Linked DNA regions of Oryzias latipes. The protein of the gene in region 2 purifies or fractionates together with the protein of the main gene of each other region. This does not show direct contact. Links are inferred from orthologs where the notes say so. Each region holds a gene or a part of one and is shown on either strand. Other genes may lie near its edges. The genes, in order: lrp5 and sost.

Region 1 (3,916 bases), on a different chromosome or scaffold from region 2:
GCTCACTAGAATTGTCAATGATGGATGGATGGATGGATGGATGGATGGATGGATGGATGGATGGATGGATGGATGGATGGATGGATGGATGGATGGATGGATGGATGGGAAACTGACAGATGGTGTCTGCCTCCTGAACCATAGCAGAGTTGGTTCCATCAGGGAGGAGCCAGATGACAGAAGCTCCTCCTCCATTCTATCTAGTTTAGCTAACTTAAGGAAGAAGCAGGAGTCCTGCAGACGCACAACGTAGATAAAATAGAATCATGATGGCCTTCAGATAGGATGTGAACATTCAAACTTGAGCTGACATGGTGGCGGTAAGCCCTGCTGCAGCGTGATGCGCCACTGTGGGGTCTGAGGGAGCTGCTACCTGCAGCAGAGTCAGCCCTAAACAACATGAAGGGAAACACAGAACAGACTTGTGTGGTCAGACGGGCGTCATGCACCACGACGTCTGGAGTGGCGTGTTACTCCATGAACACTGGACTGAACTCTGCTGTGCAGCGTGAGCACATCTGACCCACTGAATGCTTCCACACAGACCAACAGGGAGCCTTCATGTACAAACAAGAGGGAGACCTCTGCCACGGACCCCCCCCCCCCCATATACCAGGGAACACAGACAAAAACAGAAATTCAGAAAATGACTCATTTGCTAATGAAAAACAATGAAGAAAAGCCTGGTGTAATGCACTAAAACTATCCATAATAGATGCATCTTGAACTCAGCTCTATTGTTTGACCTTTTGAACGTGAGCATTCTGGGATGCAGCAGGGATGCAGCACACACCTCTGTGTCCCCTGAGGAACTGTGGGAAAAAACATTTCAATGACTAATACGACGTACTTTCACTGCAAAAAGACAATAAATGCTTTACAAATAAGGCAGAAGTATAATCATACTTGTACTCAATTGTTTGAGTTATTACCTTTAGGTAATAACTGCATAATGTGTGATGACCACATTATGCAGAAACTAATGGTTTGGGACTTTTTCCTGAAGCTTTCCTGCGGCTTCGCTGAGTAACGTCGGTTCTGCAGATTTTAGTAAAAATGTCAGAAACAGCGAGAAGAGGATCAGAAAACGCCCGTCTTCATCTATGGAGGTGGAGAGGCAGCATCCAGCTGCAGCCCGGCTTCACCGCCGCTCCACCACCTCATGAACAAAGCCGAGCCTGCAGAGCAGCAGAAATGACGAAGCCAGCCGCCCTCTTCCAGGGTTCTGCCCATCCCCGCCCGGCACAGGACGAGGCGGCGTCCGCCCGTGGAGGAAACACGGAGGTTTCCACAGAAACATCCACCTGCTGCTCCATCACACTGCCGCTCTGAGCACCGCCACCCAGAACAAAGACCGCCGACCCGTCTAAGCCAGAGGCTTCTGAGGCACAGCGGTCCTCCTCGGCTGCCCCCCTTTGTTTGAGTCTGTGGATCATCCATGAAGCAGCTGACAGGCTGAAGACACAACTGACAGGCTGAGCAAACGCACAACAGGAACACAACAGTGAAGAGGAACCAGGAGCTGAGGGTTCCTCAGGAGGAGTTCTGCTGTTTCAGGAGGACAACCAGAAGCCTCAGCCCCGAGGATGAGACTGTAGACACCACGGACCTGTGGAACCACGCGCTGACACGCTAACACACGCTAACGCACGGGGTCAGAGGGCGCCTTCAGAGCAGCGGGGGGGGGGGGGGGGGGGGACAATGAGGGGAGCTCTGGAAGCAGTCAGAACCATCACCACCGGGACACGGGGGGGGGGGGGGGGGGGGGTCTGTGGACCCACATCCTGGGGGGGGGGGGGGGGGGGGGCAGAACCCAAACACTGCCCTCTGTTCAGCTCTACGGCGCAGAGCCTGCGTGCGTGACACCCGACACCGCGCAGGACGGGATGAAGGCCCAGAAACAGCCAGCTGCCTTCAAATCCCGCAGGTCTTTGTGATCATCGTCTGGCCCGAATCTCACGCACGACCCGCCCCGTGGCGAACACCCCCCAAAAGTTTGGAGCCGCGCTCCGACAGCCGAGACACGAAACTTTCACCGGAGAGCCGCGCGTTCACGCGTCGACCGACGACGTACCCGAGCCCGCGGACAGCAGGCAGCTCCAGAGCAGCAGCCGCGGCGCCAGCAGACCTCCCATCCCCGTCACAGCCGGGACTCCCGCTCCATGTTCGGATGTTCGATCCCGGGAGTCTTCTCTGACCCGCCGCTGAGCGCGTACATGTGCGCGCGCGTGACCGGGGCTGTAAAGGGACTTTTCTTCGTCTTCGTTTTACGCTCGCGCTACTTTCCACTTTGGACTGTCGGGCTCGCGCACGGAGAGAAAGGGCAGTTGGGTGTGGGCGGAGCCTCGACGTCTCAGGGAGAGGTGGGGACAAAGTTCGAGGGGAACTTCATGAAGATCTGGTTCGGTTTGTCCTCGCGGAGCTGCTCTGTAACCTCTGAACGTCTTCAGTCTCAGAAACATCGTTCGGTTTCAGAGTACACTGACCAGAAAACCATAGATTTAAAAAGGATTTAAAGAAAATCAAAATTAAGACGTCATCCCTTCAAAATAAAAGCATTGACTCATTTTGCAATTCAATTCAATTTATTTATATGGCCCAAATTCAGAACAACAGTCGTCTCGATCATGGGCTTCGTATCGGTAATTAAAAAATTAAAACATAAAATCAAAAGAATCATGAATACAATGCTGCCAAATTCTTTTTAGAGGCCATTTCATGAACCATACACAAGGATGGAGAGTACTGCAGTTTTGTAAAAAAACAAAAAAAAAACACAGCACTCTGAATGAAATTAAGTCGGAATCTACTCTAGAATAGAGAAATAACTGGTGCAGGAAGTGTTGACAGGCTCCAAGTGGCATGAATGGTCTACAATGTGGAAGACAGGAGAATCAGGTTGGTGGCAGACAGGTTGTGCACACTAAAAGATGAGTTTACACTAAGGAGGAGATTGGGGGGAGAAATCTGCAGGATCCAAAGAGGGAAGGTGGGGATAGTGTAGCAAGGAGGGGTGTCTGGTGCACGCACAGTTAAAGAAAAATCATGTCCAGTTATCAAAATAGGCAAGTCCCAAGGTCCAGAAAGCAGTATCCAGAGGCAGCAGCAGAGGCAGCTCCTGTGGACAGAAATTTAGTCTCCAGGTCCAGAAGCAGACAGGGAGAAACCAAGAGTCAAATCAGATTCAGCATCATGACATCAGGTAGAAATATTCAGAGCTGAAGAGTTGATGTAATGCAGTCAGACAATCTGGGAGTGCAGCAGGAAGACAGCTATTTGAATTGGAGAAGAAACACACAGGGAAAAGCAGAGCCTGTAATAGTGGAAGTAGAACTAAATCTGTTCAGAAGGGTAAAACAGGAAGAACTGAGGTAAAAAAAAGAGACAGGACAGGAAGTGAAGGAAAAAACATAACATGGCTGTTTCAGTGAAACTCTGGAGCGCCTTCCTCTGAGTCATTGAGGCATGTTTTATCTCTCACATGTGAAATACACTGATAACAAGTTGGGACTTTTGTTTTTAACACGAGTGCTTTTTCTATTTGGTCTGAATTTTAATGAAATACTTCAAATTTCCATTTGATACTACTAATAATGAATGAGAAAAACTATCATTTTAATTGATTTCATATTTATTACCACAAAACTAAGGCAATTATAAAGATAGGCCCAAATACTGGTGATGTCTGTCCAGACTGTTGCTCGTCCTCCTCCAAAGCCAACCATGGGGACCATGATGACCTCGGCGTATCGCTCACCTCGTCTTCTCCAGCAACACAGACGACCAACCTACTTCTTGGTTCTTCTGTTATCAGACACGGTTGTGTTTTAACATGCCTGACATGTTTCAATGGACGTCAGAGTCTTCATCACGTGGTTGTGTGTGACGTATACATAAACAGATGATTGTGACTGAG
Region 2 (3,916 bases):
GAGAGAGCGCAGTTAATGCACATGGACTGAACCCAAAAGAAACACAGAGGGGGACCATCAATCTGTGGGTCAACTGCTTCTTTACAGCAGCTGGGTCTCCTTCCAGTCATTTGTCCGGTTCTATTTCTATCAACTGAAAAAAAAAAAAAAATCCAACACATTCAACTGAAATCCAGACCTGAAATATCGACAAATAAACAAACAAAATCAGGTCTATTTGACTCAAATCATTTTTACTTGATAAAGAAGGGCAACTGGCAGCAATAAGCAAATAACAAATCCAGACCAGAAGGCCATTAAACACACCAATCAAAGCAAACTGAGGTTTGGCTTGGATGAAAAAGCTGGCATCCTGCACCGGACCTCAGGAAGTGTTTGCGGTGACGGAGGACTAAATGACAGTCTGGTTGTTTTAGAGCAGCACAACTTGGACATCAGCCCGGCAGATTGGAGACACTCAGCTTGTAATCCTGCATTTTCAACAGGCAGGAATCACTGCCTAGTGTTTCTTTACAGGCTGTGTGCACAAAATAAAAAGGAGGAATTGTTGGTTAAGAAATGACACACTCAGAAAGGGATCTGTTTTCCTTTGTGGCCTTCCTTGCCAAAAATAAAGACCCGAACAAAGGATGGATGTGAGGTGACTTTCCTGTTTTTTGTTGGGTTTTTTCTAACCAGTAGAATATGATCTGGTGTTTTTCTCCATCGACTGCTGCAAGGACCAGAGCAGTTTCAAAAAAGATCCCTTGGCAGCACTTTGCAACAAATACCTGTCAGGTGGTTTTGTCACATCACCGCCTTTCTCCAACCGCACGGTTGCTATTCTCCTCTCAAACAAAGGCGGCCTGATGTACGGTTGCGTGAGTGGATTTTTGTTCTCCCACCCCCCTCGGCAGTGAAAGATGAGCCTAGGGAGAGGATTGGAGTGAAGCCAGGCTGTGGTCTCAAAGCCTGTGCTGTGACCCCACAAAGATCAGGGAGGAGCTGTCCCGACCAAAAGCCACACGATGGAAATAATCTGAGAGCTTTTTCTCCACCAAGCCCAACATGTGCTGCATATTCCTAAACAACAACCTGTTGAAATCAACTCATCTTTTCATCTTGAAATTCAAGAATTGCTCTCACTTTAGTGAAATCAGTTTTCCTGTTAATATAATCAATCATACTATTTGTTAGGGGGGGAAAAATGACCCCACCCCCCCATCTTAAATCACATTATCCGGCCTTCTCAATCATAACATGCTGGGAATACTGTCCAAAGGTGGGAATCCTTCTCAAATGATTGTACTTTAAAAGCTATTTAAAAAACCCTCCTAAAGACAACCCCCCCCCCCCCCCCCCCCCCGAAAAAAAAGACAGCAAACTGCAGGGCTTTGGGAAACATGTTGTTGCAATCAAATGGTTATGGCGTAAGTAGGGCTTGACTAATAGTATAAAGACAGAAGGAAACAACCTGGGAAGGGGGGGGGGGGGGGGGGTACAGAATTGGGGAAGGAACCACAAGAATGTGCATCTGATCATCCCCCCCCCCCCCCCCCCCATCAGTGTATTTAACAATACACACTCTCACACACATCAGCTCCTATACTGAAAGGGAAGCAGGTTGAATTTGGAAATGACAAAAAGCCAGTCTGCTGGACAGCCTTGAGTCTAATCCTGGCAATCAATTTAAAAATATTTATTCAGTTATTTAGAGATTTGATAGACTAAAAAAGTTGAATTTCTTTAAGTAGTTTTTTAAAGTGTTTTGTTAAAAATCTGTCTTTTAAGAGGAAAAATATTTGTTTAGAATTGCGGATTGGATTAGTAATCACCCATGTGCTTATCTTCACCACATTTTTCTACAAAGTTTGCCCAAATAGGTAATTGATGTAATATTTAAATATTAAAAGGACACTTACTATATGAAACTGTGTTTGCAGTCCTTCCACCGTTTTTCGCCCTGTTATTCAAAGTGTTGTTACTGTTGTTGTTGTTCTTGTTGGCTGCGTGCAGAATGGCCTCGTGCGGCGCGCCCGTGTTTTGCCCATAGTCCGGTAAAAGCTCGGTAGCATCATTCCTGATTCCCCGCCATCCCTTGGCGGCTGCGCAGCATCCCTGCAGCAGCAGCAGCGCCGAGCTGCAGAGCAGCAGCGCCGCGAACACCTGCATGCTTGTCGGGGCACAGATGGACCTCAACACAGGAGTAAATTTTTACAGAAAATGCAGACGGGAAAAATGTAAATAAATAAAAGCAAAAATACAGGAACGCGCAGGAACGGAGGAGTCCTTCTCCAAAGCGAGACGCGCTATTTAAAGCCAACTTTGCGGTCAGAGCGCACAATTACGCGCTGACACGGAGTGGGAGGAGTCGAACCTGGATGAGGGATTCATTGTGAATGGGGGGAGAGAGGAAGGTAGACATGAAAAAGAGTGAAGGAATGAGACCATGAAGGTCAGAGAAGATGAAAAGAGGAGGTGAGAGGAGTGGAAACGAGAGTTGTGGTGGAGTGACAGAGAGGAGAGCTGACTTAATCCAAGTGACGCAATTAGTGCGCACATAAGTGTTGGGGGGGGGGGGTGCAGCAACTATACTATGACGACTTTCTGAAGGCATCTTTCCTAGGGAGGGAAAAGGGGGTGTAGGAATCAGATCCTGTATGTTTGAGGAAAGGACCACACTCAAATGAATTATTCATGACGTGTGAATGACCCTTCATCAGCGACTCTCAGCATCATCAGGACTGTCTGCATGAATAGAAAATACATCACCAAGTGTCTGTTTACCAAATCTGAGTTTAGCAGAGGCTTTTCACGAGAATCTGATATTCTATATCTCCATATCTGTTTGGAATTTGTGAATTAAAGCTGCTTGGCAGCCCTCACGCCCCTGTGATGTGATGCCTGCTGACAGATGGAGGCTATCTCATTCAAACACTGCCCTCTTGAGGGAGAGCCTTGGGAAGGACATTCAGGCTCGTTAGCATCACTCTGCTGTTTTGCAAGGCAGTCCAGGACAAAACTTGATCAATCATAAGGTTCTAAAGTTCTGACTTTTAAAAAGGGAAGTTTGAGTTTATTCATGTCATGGATTAAATTCTGTCTCAAAAGGATGAGCCAAAAATCAGCTTGTAATGTTAGTAATGAATGATTAGGATCAATCAACAGGAAATCCCCCTCTTCGGAACCACTCCATAAGTGTCAGGTCCAATTCCTGTTCATGAAGTACAGGAAAAGTAATTAGGCTTCAGTTTGAAAGCCAGAGTTTATGGAAAATCCTCCCTGATTTTATCAAACAAACAATGCTAATATGTTAGTGAATCATACTCTGTTCAAAAACAAAAAGTGAGCGGAAAAATCTCTGTAATACACTGGAAATCTGGTTAACACCAACCTTTTTTATGGTTAGAATCCCATGTTGATGTTGTTCTTATTTCGTTTTGTCCAGAAGAACAAACATCCACTGACCCATCCATCTTTTTAACCCGCTGAACCCCTTTTAGGGTCGCTGAAGCCTGGATACTGTTAAGGCCACATTCAGCGATAAGAATCTAAAATAAAAAATGTTTTTTTAAAGACCCATAAAACTGTATATATTCAAAAATACTTTGCTCTCCAACATTGATCTTATTTCTCCTAGTGATTTCTAAAATACTGTAATGTCTTCTTACATCAATATTATGTACATCATTTTGTAATTTGATTTTATTATTGCTCAAGGTTTTTTTAATGATCTGCAATTTGGTATATCAGAAATTCAGAACTGGATAAAGATAACTTGTGTAAAAAAGAAAAAAGAAAAAGTTAGGTTAAACATAATCAGAGTGGGGTTGTATAATTTACTTCCTTTCACTCTCTTTCAAGCAATAAATGATACCTCTTTTGAAAAACACAATATTTAATGGTTTCAGTGTGTCATTTACAGAGTGTTTAAGAG

Evidence for each region.
Region 1: the proteins of sost (region 2) and lrp5 purify together in Homo sapiens (affinity purification with mass spectrometry; 3 studies listed by BioGRID and IntAct, counting the BioPlex papers as one, with this or other methods). This does not show direct contact. The link is inferred for Oryzias latipes from reciprocal best matches to the Homo sapiens genes SOST and LRP5.

The regions. Positions count from the first base shown.
Region 1 is NC_019864.2:5,022,557-5,026,472, forward strand, and holds the start of lrp5 (low-density lipoprotein receptor-related protein 5), read right to left. Parts: upstream 2,327-3,916; 5' UTR 2,136-2,326; coding exon 2,075-2,135; intron 1-2,074. UniProt on the Homo sapiens protein: Acts as a coreceptor with members of the frizzled family of seven-transmembrane spanning receptors to transduce signal by Wnt proteins.
Region 2 is NC_019877.2:17,915,441-17,919,356, reverse strand, and holds the start of sost (sclerostin), read right to left. Parts: upstream 2,482-3,916; 5' UTR 2,152-2,481; coding exon 1,902-2,151; intron 1-1,901. UniProt on the Homo sapiens protein: Negative regulator of bone growth that acts through inhibition of Wnt signaling and bone formation.